2 linked regions of the Yarrowia lipolytica genome follow. The protein of the gene in region 2 interacts with the protein of the main gene of each other region in a pairwise test. Links are inferred from orthologs where the notes say so. Each region holds a gene or a part of one and is shown on either strand. Other genes may lie near its edges. The genes, in order: YALI1_D03990g and YALI1_F11553g.

Evidence for each region.
Region 1: the proteins of YALI1_F11553g (region 2) and YALI1_D03990g interact in a two-hybrid assay, tested with the Schizosaccharomyces pombe proteins (3 studies listed by BioGRID). The link is inferred for Yarrowia lipolytica from reciprocal best matches to the Schizosaccharomyces pombe genes cdc7 and spg1.

The regions. Positions count from the first base shown.
Region 1 is NC_090773.1:394,477-402,693, forward strand, and holds YALI1_D03990g (uncharacterized protein), read left to right. Parts: upstream 1-4,597; coding exon 4,598-5,222; intron 5,223-5,278; coding exon 5,279-5,460; downstream 5,461-8,217. Other genes in the region: YALI1_D03952g (uncharacterized protein), read right to left, coding at 1-767; YALI1_D03987g (uncharacterized protein), read right to left, coding at 3,830-4,312; YALI1_D04017g (uncharacterized protein), read left to right, coding at 7,287-7,393, 7,439-7,653, 7,701-7,984; YALI1_D04030g (uncharacterized protein), read right to left, coding at 8,093-8,217. UniProt on the Schizosaccharomyces pombe protein: GTP-binding protein essential for the induction of septum formation at G2 and pre-START stages of mitosis. Acts via the cdc7 protein kinase pathway.
Region 2 is NC_090775.1:1,150,540-1,159,594, forward strand, and holds YALI1_F11553g (uncharacterized protein), read right to left. Parts: upstream 5,386-9,055; coding exon 5,329-5,385; intron 4,762-5,328; coding exon 1,438-4,761; downstream 1-1,437. Other genes in the region: YALI1_F11493g (60S ribosomal export protein NMD3), read left to right, coding at 1-303; YALI1_F11583g (uncharacterized protein), read right to left, coding at 7,017-7,775. UniProt on the Schizosaccharomyces pombe protein: Protein kinase essential for cell division. Plays a key role in initiation of septum formation and cytokinesis.

The sequences.
Region 1 (8,217 bases), on a different chromosome or scaffold from region 2:
GAGTGGCCTCGCTCTCGCAGAACCTCGTACTGGGCAAGGAACATGCCGTGGATACCGCCCATGAGGCAGCCTCGCTCTCCGTAGAGATCGGATCGGACCTCCTTCTCAAAAGTGGTCTGGTAGACGTAGCCAGAGCCGACGGCAATGGCGAGGGCAACGGCCTTCTCGTCGGCCTTGCCGGTGACGTCGTTCCACACGGCGTAAGAGGAGTTGATACCTCGTCCCTCCTTGAACAGAGATCGGACGGTTCGGCCGGATCCCTTGGGGGCCACGAGGATGACGTCAACGTCGGCGGGGGTCTCGACCTTAGTCAGATCCTTGAAGACGGGGGAGAAGCCGTGGGAGAAGTAGAGAGTCTTGCCCTTGGTGATGAGGGGCTTGATCTGGGGCCAGGTCTCGGACTGGGCGGCGTCGGACAGCAGGTTCATGATGATAGTTCCCTTGCCAATGGCCTCGTTGACGTCAAAGAGGTTCTTGCCGGGGACCCAGCCGTCCTCCTGAGCGGCCTTCCACGAGGCGCCGTCCTTTCGGACTCCGATGATGACGTTGAGGCCGTTGTCTCGCATGTTGAGACCCTGGCCGTAGCCCTGGGAGCCGTAGCCGATCAGAGCAATGGTGTCGTTCTTGAAGTAGTCGAGCAGCTTCTCCTGGGGCCAGTCGGCTCGCTCGTGGACAATCTCGTCCTCCTTTCCGTTGAAGGAGATGGTCTTGATGGTTCGGGCCACGGCGGGGGCGGACAGCTTGAAGGCGGGTCGGGTAGCAGCCATGGAGATGGGATCGGGAGGCAGACACACGGTGGCCAACTCGGGCAACGGCGGGCTCGAGAGCAGCCTGTCGAGAGGCAGTGGAGAAAAGTCGGGCAGACATTACTGTGGTGTTGTGTTGGGGGGGATTGGTTGTGAGAGAAGAAAGAGAGAAAAAATCGGCGGACTTTCAGCGTCGTTATATAGACCACGTTGGGCACTTTGGAGCTAAGGTTACAGTGCTCCGACAACAAGGCGATTGGGAGCAGATGAAAAGTTTAGGTTGGCAATTGGCCAATCGGGAGGCCGCAAATCAGATCAAGGTTTGGCAGCAGTCTGCCGATGTCGCTGGAGTGGATTTACGGTTTGAATTTTGCAGCGAAAAAAGAGTCATGGATAGATGCAGACAGTGAGTGAGTGATATGCCGATGGTGATGCCGATGTGGATGCCGATGTGGATGCCGATGTAGGGGCCGATGGGAACGGCGAGGCAGCAGCGGTGACGAGCGGTGACGAGCGGTGACGAGCGGTGAGACAGAAGCATTGAGTCATGGAGCTGGGTGGAGATGGGGTACAAGATAGGTGGTGGTGACTCACTGTACATCTGGTACTACTGTATTACGTACTACAGGTACAGTAGTATGGTTAGATCAATTGCTCTGTCTGCTGGAGTTGGCTGGTGTCTGATTGTCACGGGATTGTTAATACATCCAAGAGTTGAAGATTCCGTCATTTTTCAGCGACGTCGTTGATGAGGTTGATGGCGTTCAACCACTTGTAATCTCGGCCGGAGTACAACATGGTCCACTCATAACCACTCAATTCGAGCTCTACATCTAGCCGTCCACTCGCTACCACACTCTCTCACTAAACTCACTACACCCACTCCATCATCTTACCCCACAATTCTCTCGCCTCCAGACAGACTAACAAAGACCATTATTACACTTTTAATAGACCGGAGGTGAATGAACAGCCCCGTCGGAGGGTTAGTTTAGCGACACGCCAGTGTCTTAGATCCGATCTGGGCCAAGATGGATGCCAGAGTCCAACAGATCCGGACTTGGGGACAGTCTTGTAGGCGACTTTCGTACAGGCTTCAAGGAGGAGACTCCCAGTACAGTACTACAAGTAGTCGTAGTATAAGAGTGTCTGTGCTGCCACTTTCAAGTTTCATACAACTGTACCTGTTAATCTTTCCCCATAGCTGATGAGCCTCTGTTTCTTATAGACCTACCCACTGTCGTAATCCCTGGATCCCGTACTATATGACAGTCAGTAGGTATACTGTACTTCAACGTCCCCCGGACCTCCATTGTTCCCTGAGGCTCGGTGATATCGACACTCCGAAAGCTACCGATATCGCTTCTCGACAGCGACATTGTCACCACTCCAATCAACTCCGCTCCCGCTCCTCTCGCTTCCCCATATCTCGCGCCCACAGGGCCGGCATAGAACACATTAGGTTTCAACAACCGTTGGTTCGAAGGCAATATCTCGGTCAATAGTTGGTATAATTCAAAGCGGACTTTACCATTGGACTCCTTGAGCTTCCCTCGTTCTTTCTCTACCCTCGGATCCGATTACTTACTAAAATTCACCCTGCTATTCACATTCCTCGCTCCTCCCCCCCCCACATATGCACTCACACTCTAAGCTCCTCGGACGCACCGAAACCGATGACGGTCATAGCCGTGTGACCGGCCACAGCGAATTAGGTCCAGAGTGCATGAATACTGCCGGAGTTGAGCATCTCACTGAGCGTGACTCTTTGCGTGAAAATTTTAGACTTTGGTGAAAAATATAAACTCCACGCCGATATCGCTCAGGCACTCAACCCCCGCCCGATCACACGCAAGGGACTCTTTGTGGAGCGACAACGGCGTCTTTAGCCGATTTTGGGGGAGCACGTGCCGCAGCAAACCTCCGTGCGACATCGTCGGTGTCGCCCAGAAGACCATGTACCTGATCAGAAGAGCTCCAGATCAGACCCAAACCTCACATAGCCTTGCTCTGCGTGTCACATGCCTCGGCCCACGGTGCATGATTCAGGCCGCAATTGGTGGGGAAAGTGAGATAACAGCTCGGGCTTTTGATTGGTGCATTAGTCACGAGAGGTGGATGATTAGTCAGGAGACTCCAGTTGGTTGTGGTCCGGTTTCCTAAGTGTGCAAATGTATATTTCTCGCAATTTAGTTGGGGAGATACTAGACTCACACTTAGCACTGAACACTTTTCTCCTGGAACTTTTTTCGGGACTCCGCCTCCTACAAAACCAATATATGCACGGTGCAGATCACAATCAAACCCCGCAGAGCGCTGGCGAGCTCGTGCATGACGGGAAATGACCAGTTGGTGGTGTTCTCTCTGATGCCATATGTTTCTGGTGTCATATGTCGCTGGTACGATCTACCAATACTTGTGCAGTATGTACTGTACATACTGGAAAAGATGTTGCTGGTATAAGACAGTCCAAGACCCCAAAGCTGTCAATTGTGGACGGTAGAAGAGAAATATAAGTACAAGAACGGTACTTGTAGAGAGATTATAAGTCTTCTAAAGAGATGATCAGATCAGACATGAAAATCTCCAGTCTTGAAAAATCGTGCTAATTGTGGTTTAAATGTGTAGAAGCAAGAATCGAACCTGTGCGAGTACAGATGTACTGTAGTGGGCGTGAATCTAGGCGACGATCGATACTGTACATCTTCAACTCATTCTCCTACACTCGACAAAAATATTCACGTGATCAGTGTCGCGAGAATCGTATATTCACGTGATTCAGAGCACTCGTACTCGTATCGATAGTATCGCCGTTCCTAATGTCACGTGACAACAGTCGATTCTGTCGTGACCCTCAATTAGGAGTACCTCCTTGTAAAAGACCGACCTCATGTGGATCAGATTGTGTCCGCGACTTTCCCGTCTATCACGTGACTTTCGTTTTAAAACGTGACTTTCCGGCGTATCACGTGACTTTCCGGCGTATCACGTGTCACACTCCCCTTACTTGTAGAGGCCCTACAGTTTGTAGCTGAGTAATACGATACTCGTATGTACCAAACTGTATAGCTCAACCAGATCCTCTACCAACCCCCCCCCCAGGTCTGGTCACGTGAATAGTCACGTGTCCAGCCATTCCCATGCGTCATTATGGGGGTTCTCTCGAATATTGAAGGAAAAAAATATCGCCGATATTGCACAAAATATATAAACAGAGATTGCCCGGTTGTATGTACAGATTTGTACAGTCTAAATTGGTGACATATGTCAAAACTCTGAGACCGGGATAATGGCCAAAAATGGCATGAAATCAGGCAAAAAAGCGCAAAAGGTCTTGTGAACCGCCAAACCACGGCCTCTAGACCACATTGATGTCTTCTTCTCATCACCACCACGTCACAATGCACTGACAACGGTAAATGCGCGTTTTCAGCCTCATTTATGAAAAGTAAACTATTTACAAAACAAATAATACCATTGTATCCCTCAAAGAACAGCGATTCCAATGGCACCAATTTAACCACCATCCAACGTCTTTTGGGGCTACACTGGTGAATATTTGACATACCCCTAGATGGGATTTTTTAGGTTGGCCACAACAAGTGTCATAGCAACGGGTCACGTGGGAGCAACGGACGTGTTTGCGGTCGGATTTACGCGCCGAAAATGGTCACGTGAGAGACAATTGCACCACAAGTCACGTTCACCTTCCATGTCTACTCCAGCGCCCACAGTTGCCGATTTACGGGAATTCCGCTCAAACCCTAATCCAACCTACACCGTATCAAAACACAACTCCACCACCATCACGAACCCCACAGCACTAACAATATCCAGACTTATTTGCAACCATGGAACAAGAGAAAACGGTGCCTGTGGACATGAATGTGCCACACAAGAACAGTGTGTCGCTGAAAATTGGGCTCATTGGAGACGCGCAAATCGGCAAAACGTCGCTGATGGTCAAGTATGCCGAGGGAAATTTTGACGAGGACTACGTGCAGACTTTGGGGGTGAACTTCATGGAAAAAACGGTGTCGATACGAGATACGGAGATTACGTTTCTGATTTGGGATCTGGGTGGCCAGCGGGAGTTTGTCAACATGCTTCCGCTGGTGTCCAACGACTCTGTGGCGATTCTGTTCATGTTTGATCTCACGCGAAAATCGACTCTCAACAGCGTCAAGGAGTGGTACCGGCAGGCTCGGGGGTTCAACAAGACGGCGATTCCGTTTCTGGTGGGCACCAAGTACGATCTGTTTGTGCAGTTACCCAAGGAGGACCAGGAGGAAATCACCCAGCAGGCCAAGAAGTTTGCCAAGGCCATGAAGGCGTCGCTCATTTTCTGCTCCACGTCGCATTCCATCAACGTGCAAAAGATTTTCAAAATCGTGCTGTCCAAGGCGTTTGACCTGAAGCTGACGATTCCGGAAATTACCAACACTGGCGAGCCCATTTTGGTGTACCAAGGTGTTGGTCAGTAATTATTTATAGCGAGCAGGCGCAACCTGTGAGCCAGACAGGAGGATGAGCCGAGGAGGGGTGGATGGGCCGAGGAGGATGGGTAGAGCGAACCAAGCAGGAGGACGACCAGACAGGAGGAAAACCAGGTCGGAGGATGAGCCGAATTGGCAGGAAGGCACAACAGACCCGAGCACGCCCGAACACGCCCGAACAGACTCAGCCTAGCTCAGCCTGTCAAGTGGACATCTGAACAGTAGAAATGAAGCATTGACTTGGAGTGATGTGTAGGTTGAGATGTACCAGGGTGCCTGGTAGGTAATGTAGATGTAAACAGTCTAGATTCTCTATCGAACATCTGGATGATCTGGATGATCTGGATGATCTGGATGATCTGGATGACCTGATTGAATCTGACTATGATTCTTTCTCTGCTGGGTGGACATTTTGTCGGTCTTCTACTTCAGGTTTTCATCGATACACACGGAAAAGCAGCTACAAGTAGAAGTAGGGACACGAAGAAGCGATAGAGACCGACCGGCAGGTTTTTCATACTGGGGTGTTACTACAGTATGTACAGTAATTAAAGAGCTCTTCATGTAGAAGACCAGAATCGGTCCTATTGATGATCAAATATCTCAATAGAGCAGAAATTTGAAGTGCTCGATACCGTAGAATTGCCTAAGGTGTTTATATATGGTCCACAGCACAATGCTACAAGAACAGGACAGGTCCATATGAAATCATTGGAGGGATATTTTTGCAATTATCAAAGTATTAGATAAGTTTTTGAGAGTAAATAAAAGAAAAACCATCTTCGACGCCTCCGCTAATCTTGCAAAACATCTTTATAATTTTTTTAATAACATATTTATATTTCCAAGTATGTTAACTTGGTAAGTTTGTTGGGTTTAGTTGGAATGACAGGTTCATATAATGGTCTCATTTCAAGAGGTTGTAGTTGTAGTGACAATAAGACTGAAATAACGACAGATTAGTACTATAAAATGGGTGAAATGGGACAGATTGTACATTCTTTTATCGCAACTTTTAGTGGAAAGTGTGTTGGAAAGGATGTAAAGTTACTCCAAAAACGGTCACCCATATTTGACAGATACCGAAGTTTGAGTGGGCACATGGCTGAATGAGGTCGGCCGCGACATCTCCATTTTGTATATTAAGTAAGTATTTTTCTGGCATAATACTGATAATGAGATGTATTTTATAATAAAACATTCTCAGATTTCTCTTATCCATCCTATGACATCGGTTACAACAATATCTCGTTTTGGTTTTATCTTGGTTTAATCTCTCAATCATAGTTGAGAACCTAGTTGGAATTAGTTAGCCTGAAACAACAGGACACAGCTCGTCTCATCGTCCACATTTATTTGAAATAAACGCTTAGAGATACACAATTGTTTCTATTGAAGATCTCTGTGATATTCCCATCTTCTAATATCCATCGCTGTCTATTTTGTAGACACTTGTTACTTGACGTTACTGTTTTGTACTGTAGTAAATCCTCAACTGTCTAGACACCTTAAACTACAAGTAGACCCACCACCTGAACACACTTTTCCTCCTTCACACCACTTTTTCAACGGCACAGACACCAACAAAGCGGCAGATGCAATCATGTTTCGTCTCCAATTCGCTGTTGGTGTTTGTGTTGGAGTGGAGTGGTGGCTATAGGTGGCGATCTCCAAGTGGAGGAGCTGCGGTTGTGAACACGGCAAATGGCAGAACAGAGATACACAGATGGACTGACCCAATTGGTGTTAGTATCAACGATAACCCTCGATTGTCCTGCTTCTACCCCATCAAAGTGGACTTGGCGACTTCAGAACGCGATCTCGACTGTTCCTTGTATATCTCGAGACGATCTCACTGAGTTCTGTCGGTTAGGTTCTACTGATGGACTGCTTCACAGAACACTGATACGGATAGGGATGTTTGGGCAACTACTCATTCGCACACCCATGTGCCAAGTCAGAACACAGGGTTCTTCTGCCGCCACGAAGAACTCAAGTTAACACTGCTGTTGCGTCACGAGACGTTGTGTCGAGAACCTGTGGTATGAGTCCTTTGACAAGCCAGGGTGGCATCATGACTGAAGGGTACAGGAGTCGAGTGTTCAGTGTGCTCTACGTAAGGTTCTTATCTACAAGTCGTCATCACAGGATGTTTTTCTGAGGTACAATAGAGCACAGGGGCACACCAGAGTTCAGGGAGCACTCCAGAAATCAGAGCACACAGTCCCTACGATTCACATTGCCTACGACAGACATTGCTCGCCACAGACGCGGTCTACAGCGGACACTGCCTACGATACAACTGACACTGCCTACAACAGACAATGTGGCGCACAAGTTTACTGGAAAGATCCCATTGTTCCAGCCCCAGTATTATGCGCCGTTTGAAGACTGCGTCGACAAATCGGGCTGTGTGCATTACTGTCCGAAAAGTCTCGCGGGCCAACGTCGCGGCCAGATCGTGTTTGTTGCCATAGCTACAGCTGTACCTCAGTCTCAGCTCTGCTAGAACCAGTCCACCAGCCTCACTACGATACGAGTCGAAGGTATATCAGCCTTACCTATTACCCTGAGTCAGGGGTAATAATAAAAGAGAGCGTGCTACTGGATCTCGCAGTATTCTGGGTCTCCTATGAAACCACTGCACCCCTTGCAGGAGGAGGAGCTATACGAGGCGGTTTAGGCGCAGCAAGATGGGGTGGTGTCTCGTTTCAGGTTGATGAGTTGGGATGTCAGAATTAGTTGAGAATTACTTGGGACGAACTTCAGCAACTCGAAGACTTTTCCAGACCTCCAAGATAGTCTTACAACTGCGAGTGCAATACACAGCAAGTCTTTCCCGGAATGACGTCATCTACTCACTCTCCCCACTCCCCCCACTCCTACGAGTACTCTCCTCACTCGTGTTACGCGTGTTATTTTTAACCATCTGTCTTTTCTTGCTTCCTCCCGTGCACGATCGTCGGTAAAAAAAA
Region 2 (9,055 bases):
CGACACTGGAAGCTTAAGCGAATGGCACTTGAACACAACCTAGAGGACGACCCCAAGGTCACCAAAACCGATCTGGACAAGGCTGAGCAGGACTACGAGCAGTTCCTGCAGGAGCTCGAGGAAGACACCGAGCTGCGAGGCACCGTCAACCTTTATAAGCGAACCGTTCCCCAGATGCCTGCTCTTCCCAAGACTGGTGATGAGATGGAGGCCAGCGAGGAGGAGGGCGAGGGAGTTCCTGAGATTGGTGTTGACGAGCTTCTCGACGACCTGGAGGACATGAGCCTGGGCCAGGATGAATAGATGTACCACGAGCGAACCAGTAACGACAAACAGTAACCAAAAGTCAATGGTCAATGGGGATATTTAGATGAATGCATTAATAGATTGGATGTGGAACATAAAACGAAAAGTAGAGCAATAAGGGCATAAACAGCTAGATTCCTCTTTCCCAGGTTACAAGATAGCCCTATTGAACCAGATTTCCTTATTATTTGTTTTTATTCTAATGATTCATTTTTTTATTTAATCACGTGACGTCCATAGCCGTGTTACTAGGTTCAATCACATTTATCGCCAGTTGCGGCCATATCCCTTGGTGAAAAATACGGCTTTCCCCGTCCGATCAAGCCATAGTCCAAGCAACCAGAGAGCCCTAGTTATGTATTGTAGTGGGGAGGACCATACGAGAATCCTAGGTGCTGCAATTAAACCATTTTTTTTTTGCTCTTGCCTCTTCGGCTTTCTATGTTATGTCTCCAACCTGCTTACTCAAGAACCAAGACAGCGTTTTACACACAGTTTGAGTAATGTAGGTTTTAGTGAGACTCTCACTGAAGATATAAAAGTCCGAGTACTTGTAAGAATACAGTACATCATGTATCTGTTCCGAGATGCTTGGACATGTCAACTCTTCAGTATCCTTAGGAGGAGGGGGATGATTTTCAACACAACCGAAAGGTAGTAAGGTTCTCGCTTATGCAGGAATGTCTCACCGAGAGAAAGACGATTTAATGTTACGTGGGATTTTTATCGACCTAGAGACATTAATTGGCACACAAGTCAAGGATGATCTATGGAGGTAAGACACTTTTCAATCTTGACAAGACTCTATATCTCTACACACATCTTCAATCCACTTCTTATTAGCTCGTATCACACGCCAACAACGGATGATATGCATCACACTTGCCTCTCAAACGCATATTAAAATATATATTTACCATCGCGACCTTTGTTGAGTGTGGGGAGAGACTCCTACGATATTTCAATTGTGATATGTTGTATCATAGGCATCGATACAGGCAGTTGTATGTTGTCAATGCATTAATGTTATATGATAAATAAGACAGAGTCTTGTGTATTGTTTGGTATGGTATCGTATTGTAAATGAGATGGTGGCGTCCCTCTTCGTGGACAATGTCCTCGAAAGCTTTCCTAGAGAAACGAGCTACTGTTTCCCACCTGATGCTTCACCGCCGGTCTATAATCCGAAGCCACTCTCTTGCTCGGAGTGGGAATAGGATCGTATCTCTTGACTGGTGGAGCAGGCATGTCTGTAATTGTATCTCGTGACTTCGTCTTCTTGCCCTCAGCCATTTCCTTGGCTAGACCTCTAGCGAGAACAGACTTCTCGTTTGCTGCAAGGTAAGCGATTTGCTTGGCCAAATCGTGCTTCTCCAGGAAGCTGTAATCGTCTCCGTTAGCTTCAACGAGGGTTCTGATGATCTTGAGCACTGTCAGCCGGATTCTAGGCTTGCTGGATTCCAGCTTGGACGACAGGAAACCGATCAGAATAGGCCCAGTGAGAGCCACAGCGACACGCTGACTCAGCCGCAACAACTTGTGGAACAGGTCCATGTACTGCTCAAAGGCCGTGGATCTGGAGTTGTTCGAGAAGGAGTGAGTGATGAGGTCGAGAGAGGTGTTTCGAATTAGACGTTCCTCCACACGAGCTGTTTCATCGTCGAACCACACAATGATAGAATCCATGGCGTTGACCTGGTAGTAAGGGTCCGGAAGTAGACGCAGATATGTTGTGAGCACATCGTGGCGCCACAGAATCTTGCGAGTTGCCTTGGAAGAGTGAGCCATGTCACACAAAAGAGGAAGAGCAAAGTCCTTGACGGGCAAAGAAGAAAGAGCTGCTGCCTGAAGATATGGGGCAGCCCCACACTCGGCAGCCTCGTCTTGTCTGTGAGGGGATAATCGACACAGATTGAAGAGAGTGTGGTAGATCTGGATTGACAGGTCTCGGGAATGCTGGTTGGCCATATTGGTGCAGTCCTTGAGACAGTCCACAAGGTACTCAATGACGTTGGAGTTTTGCATGGTCTCAAGGGCGGTGTGAACGGCACTAACACTCTTGATGAACTTGAGCATGGTGACTCGGTGATGTGTCGGTAGACGTTTGTAGCACTTGAAGAGCCCCTTGAACACAGCTCGAGAAGCAATAGTCTCTTTGACATGAGGCTCTGTCTGCGAGAATATGGTCAGAATGCTCATAATCTTGTTGATGTAGTCCGTGTCCGAGTATCCAGAGGTGTCTGTGGGGTACTCATCGGGTTCATAGTCGTCTACCAGCTGTCTCAGAATAGCCACCAGAGAGTCGAGAATGAAAGAACGGGAAAGGATTCGACAAAAGTCGTTTCGCATACCGCTCCCCTGCACCTCGAACACCTTGGCCACGCCGTAGATTCCCACAAATACAAACTCACGATGCAAACCAAAGTCCTCCTCAATCAACTGCGACAGCATGTTGAGACCTCCACAAGAAACAAACATCTGGAGAGCCAGTTTGGAGCCTCTGCAGAGTCTATCAACAATGGCTACACTCTGAATACGAGTTTCAGACTGGTATCGAGTGGTAGAAAACATTGTGACGATTGGGATACCTCCTGAGAAACACAAGCTCTCAAGAACAGCTTCATCATCATCAATAAGAAGCACCAAAATGCATAGGACACCGCAAACAACCGCCTCGTTGGTCTGAAACCGCTCCAGAAGCTCCAGCAAAGGCAGTACTATGTGACACTTGACCACTGTCTTCTTTGTCTCAGGATGCTGCTGCAACAGGTCAATAAGAGAAGGGACAATATCCTGGACTTCGGAAGTCGTCAGTTGCACCCTGTTGAGTCTTCCAACATGCTGCTCAGCCGTGCGCATCGCCGTAGCAAGCTTATCACGTGCAATGTTCTGTTCAATGTCTTCTGGAGAGAATCTCGTTTCATTCTCAAGAGCAGCAAATGGATCTTCGTCGTCCGAATGATGGGATTTGTCCGAAGACGAAAACGACGCCGGGTACGCATTTTGTGACTTGGGAGTAGCACCTACTGTCAAATCTACCATATCTCCAAGCATACTGGTATAGTCATCTTCATCCTCTCCCTCCTCACAGAACTGCTTCAGCTTGATCGTGGCGTAATCTGTAGACTTGTCCTCTGCGGCAGTAGGCTTTTGTCTGCTGTTAAACCTCTTTTTCAGGTCGTCTGTGGAAATATCGGCCACATTGAAGCCGTCCGCAAACGCATCGTCATCCTCCACGTCCCGAAAAGGCGAGTTCTCAATCGGAATTCTTGAATGCACAGGGGTCTTTGGATCTAGGCGCGTGGCTTTGCTGATGCTCGGCAGTTTATTGGAGACACTGCCTCTAGAAGCCTTGTTCAAGGCACTGGTGATGGAGGGAATTGGTTTGGAAGAAGTTGAAGAACCTGGAGGAGTGATTTCTCGCTTGGTAATTATGATATGTGGAGATCGGGGGTTTAGCTCGCCCACAAACTCGTCGTCCCAACTCTCGATATGGCCCGAGGACGTGATCTCGTTCTGTTTTTGGCGCGAAAACTTGCGAATTGAAGCGTAAATGTCGTCCTGAGTACGATGGGGTGTTCGTGGAGTCTCTTCGACTGCTTGATTGAACTGCTCCACGGATTTTACAACCTCATCATATCGCTTGGGAGGCCCACTGACGTGTTTGCGTTCGCTATCGGTCCTCGCTTCAGCTAACCACGGATGTCGCAGCAGCTTTTTGGCCGTCACTCGCAGATTGGGGTCTTTTTGGAAACACTGTCCGAGAAAGTCGAGAGCTGCAGGAGACGCTCCTTCTGGAAATGCAGGATGATCGTCGTTGACAATAGCAAACATGGCTGGCATTTGGCCTAGGTTGTGGTAGGGGGGTTTGCCTGTGAGCAGCTCAATCACAGTACATCCCACAGACCAGATATCCGAGGCTGTGGTAGCACCATTGAGCTCAATGATCTCAGGGGCCATCCAGTTGGGTGTACCTGCCACTCCGTTTTCCACAGATCCGGTAGCGAGTATGGTTGTTGTTGCGACTCCAAAATCAGCCAGCTTCGAGTTTCCATCTTTAGTGGTCAAAATATTGGCACCCTTGATATCTCTATGAATCACTCCCTGCTCGTGCAAGTATGCCAGACCCTTGAGCACCTGGTACATGTAGACAGCCACGAGGTTTTCGGGGAACTTGCCAAACTTGCGGCAGATGGAGTGTAATGAGCCGTTTTCGCAGTACTCTAAGATGATGTTGAGGGTATCCTGGGTCTTGACAAAGCCGTGATACTTGACGATGTTTGGATGGTTGAGGTTTTTGAGCAGGTCAATTTCCATCATGATGGTGTCGACGTCACCTTTTTTAGGCACGTCCGAGAGCTTGATCCGTTTGACGGCGACAGCTTCGCCGGTGTTCCAGTTGAGAGCACGGTAGACGGACGCATAGGCGCCTTTGCCGAGGCAGTCTCCGAGGGTCTGTGTTAGCACGAACGAACAGACGAGTACTAGGCCATACAGCACATGTGCATTGATGTGTGTTGGTAATGGTGAAGGAAGGGTCAGCGAAAGAGAGGAGTGCGTGTCGGCGTACGCATCAGTACGGGGATATGGAGCAGAAGGAACATGGAGCTACCATTCAGCCTAACCACAGTTGAAACAACCACCACAATGAAGCCAGTTGCTGTATAGAGATAGTACTAGGAATGAGTTTCAAAGCTGGCATTTGTGTCAACAGCAGTGACAAGGGGCTGCGTACGATCATAAACCGGTGGAAAGTTGTGGATGTCTTTTCATAATAGAACGACAAATTGAACAAAATAGCACACAAATGAAACCAGTAGTTGATTCGTATGACCCCCACATCCGACTTATCCCTCCACCGTTGCCATATCATCCTGCCATACCTGGCACACCCCCTATGTTGCTGAACCTCTCGCATGTTCTCTCATGCCCTGAACATCTGACCTTACCAAGTCAACTTATCCTGCTCAGTCGACTTTTGCCACCAGCTGCTTGGCTCCAAACAACTCGATTCGCACTCACATAATTATTCATCGGCTCCTTGCCATTGACCTTCTGGGCTGGCGTAGCGCTGACCATGTCTCTGTCTCTCGTACTGCCACTCGACGAACTGGATGAGCTCGACGAGTGACGCAGGTGTTGTGGGGCACCCCTGGGGCGCTGGGGACGCCGTGAGGGAGTCGAGGGAACCATCACGGGTCGGTAGAAAGGAGCTGTGTATCTTGAAGTGTACTACTGTAGGTCTGACCGTTAGACGTTTACTGCTGCTGCACCAAGCCAGTTAAAGTTGTTTACAAAAGACGCGTGAATTTACAGTTGGGAGCGGTTTCGCGATGGCCAGGAGGGGTAGTATTTTGGGGCCGCCAGCGATCGTGATTGCCAAGGAGTTTGTCACGTGACCCTGTTTTCCTTCGCCGCTAAATAATCAACCAAAAAAACATCCACTTCGCCGATCAGGAACACTCCGTATCACCCCCTTTAATCTCCCTACATTACACCATCCAGAAATGGACGCATATTAGCCCAATTGGGACACATGGAAAACTCTACTACAGTACTTATACCAATCCCTGATCAGCAATGAGATGGACATGAGAGGCAGAATAGTGATATAGATTGATAGCACGACGGCCAGATTCCTCACTCATAACCTGTTGGATACGTTTGCTGGAACGCTAACTCTACGCACTGTGCTTAGATGATGCTAGAGCTCATAATATCTATTCTTAGAACAGCCCTTGTTCGGGAAATATACGGGTATATACGGGCATGAGACCACCTAAGGAGACATTCCAAGTGATCCGAAAGACTACAAAATGCACACTTCTCTCTTTATATGTCTGTTAACTGAGTGTGTCTCGTACAAGTCTAGTATAAGGACGTGTAGTCCAGCACTGCCCCTAAACGTCCTTTTGGGCTATATTTCCTGGAAATTGTTGCCTTTGGCATATCAAGTAATTCTGACATGCTTCTTAGAGCACTTCAAAATGTTTCTATTCACTTTTATACCCCTCTACAGCCCCTTTTATTTCATTATCTCCCATTTTTGAAAAATTCACAAATTTAAAGTTATTTAAGATCATGTGATCCAGACGCGATATGTCAACAGCCGAAATTTGACTTTTTTTATGTAAGATCCGATCGTCTCTTATCTGCGGAATAGTTCTCAGTCGGTAGATTGTCGCTGTCTAACCTAACCGTTGCTCGCTGTCTGTAATACGTTCACAGGCTGGTGATAACTTGTCTTATTAATCATACATAAATGTCCTTCTTATACTACCATCCTCCGGGTGGGTCCCAGTTGGGAGCCACAGTCACACATGCACGTTTTTTTTTTTTATTCTAGTGATTCGTGACCGGCACCATCCCAAGCCCTTAGTAAGCGACTTGGTCCTTACATTTTAGCTTTCCGATATAGTGTAGGGGTTATCACTTCCGCTTTTCACGCGGAGAACCCGGGTTCGATTCCCGGTATCGGAGATTCCTTTTTTTGATCGAGCAACGATTTATATCCTTCTTGCTCCAGCTATTTTTTTGCTTGGTTGCTCGTTTTCCATACTGCTGTTGCTTAATTTGAGGTTATCACTATACTACCTACAGTACAGACACACCTGCCTGTGTCTGAGGTGTACGCCCATTCTACGTAGGTACATACTGTACACGCGTGCAGTGTTATAATTCATTCAAATATCGTCGGGCTAGCCGCCAATTTAGTTAACAGGGTCCTTGGTGAATCGGAGGTAGGGCTTGAGCTCCTTGAAGTCGCCGTACTTCTTCTTGGCATCCTCGTTCTTGACGGAAGGAGGAATGATGACGTCCTTGCCGGCCTCCCAGTCAATGGGGGTGACGAGGCCAGTGGCGTCGTTGAGCTGCAGAGAGTCGAGGACTCGCAGAATCTCGGACGAGTTTCGGCCGGTGGAAGCGGGGTAGGTGATGAAGAGTCGCACCTTCTTGTTGGGGTCGATGATGAAGACGGATCGGATGGTGAAGGCAATGCCCTTGTTGATGTTCTCAAAGCCCTGCTGGTCGACCATGTCGTAAAGGAAGGCGACCTTTCGCTCGGGGTCGGCGATAATGGGGAAGTCGAAGGCCTTGCCGGAGGTGGAGGTGTCCTCAATGTCCTGGACCCAGTCCTTGTGGGACTGCAGGTCGTCGGCAGACAGAGCAATCAGCTGGGCGTTTCGCTTTGTGAACTCGTCCTTGAGAGCAGCAAAGGCGCCGAGCTCGGTGGTACACACGGGGGTGAAGTCCGCGGGGTGAGAGAACAGCACGGTCCACTTGTCGCCAATGAAGTTGTGGAAGTCAATATCTCCTCCGGTGGTCTGGGCAGAGAAGTTGGGGGCGGTAGAGCCGATTCGGATTCGAGGTTGGTCCTCGGCCTTGAAGGAGTAGAATCGGGCGCCGGCGGGCAGAGTGGCCGGTCGCAGAGACTTGGCGGTTCGCAGGTAAGTGGCGAGTCGGAAAGACATGTTGTGTGTGTGGATGTAGAGGAAGTGTATGGTTTGCGTCGCAGCAAATAGTTATACGCTACGGCAACTCAATTGGCTTCTGAATTCACTGCATGCGCAGCAATGGCGCAATTGCACTGGATGGGCGAAGACAATGTTTTGTTGTAATATTGGAAGACAGGGATATTTTTGCCGGGTTTGAAATATTGGTGGTTTTGAAAATTCCATGTTGGAGTGGTTCTTCTGATGACTAACCCTCCCGATCACCCCTTCCAAACACGTGTCTACAATACCCCCCCCCCCCCCCCCCCCCCCATATACTGGCGCTGTTCTTTAACCTACAATACGGAGGTGGGATTATGCAGGGCCGACGGCGGAGCAAGATTGAATCGACCGACAAATATGTCTTAGATGTACGATATTCGTTGTGTACTCGCACTTGCACAAGATGTATTTGGTTTGGAGAGTTGGAATTGTGATCTGAAAGGAGTTTGGCAGATTGCTATAGGTGTCAAGGGTGCTAATAGGTGCGACTTCTATTCATGTAGAGCTGAGAGGCATTGAGTGTGCAGTAGGATCTAGAGTCAGTCAATGGACCGTTCGAGAACAATAGGAGATTGTAGTAGACTCGTGGGGACGGGGTGTTGAAAGACATTATCATCCTTCTGGCATCTGCCAGCTACTTCCCAGATCTTGCCAAGGTATCTAATCGGCTTGGGTTGACGACTTTAGTGGGTGACTAGTTGAGGTGAAAAACTGTCTGGAGACGCCAATTGGAGTTTCGAGGTTGCTGATGTCTCAAATGTACTTCTGAAGAGATCCAATGTACAAGTACGGGTACCTACAGTATGTACTGGTACATTACAGGTACTCCAAGCTACAATTGTAGCATGTTACGATAGTTATGGTGGCTAGAGACCTGATGGGACTGGATAAGACCGAACACGGCACTGCCATAAGAGAATTTAGTTAACAATTAGTTGACTTTGGAAATATGATATTCCCTGCTATCTTGAACATCTTGAAGGGGTTATAAAAGAAACAGAGAAGGTATATGTAACGATTTTCGGTTATATCGCGTCCCAATCTCACCAAGCTTGACAGTTCTTATACCTTCCAGCCAGGGGACTTTTGTTTCACCGTTTGGAGTATGTTCCGGATTGGACGCATCGTCCTGTGTGGTCTATCTACGGTTACTATACAAGAGATGCAAAATGTAGTTGATTCTGCCACAATTATCTGTACAAATAATATGAGCTACAAGTATGTCACGTGCTGATCTCACTTGGTCTGTTTTAACT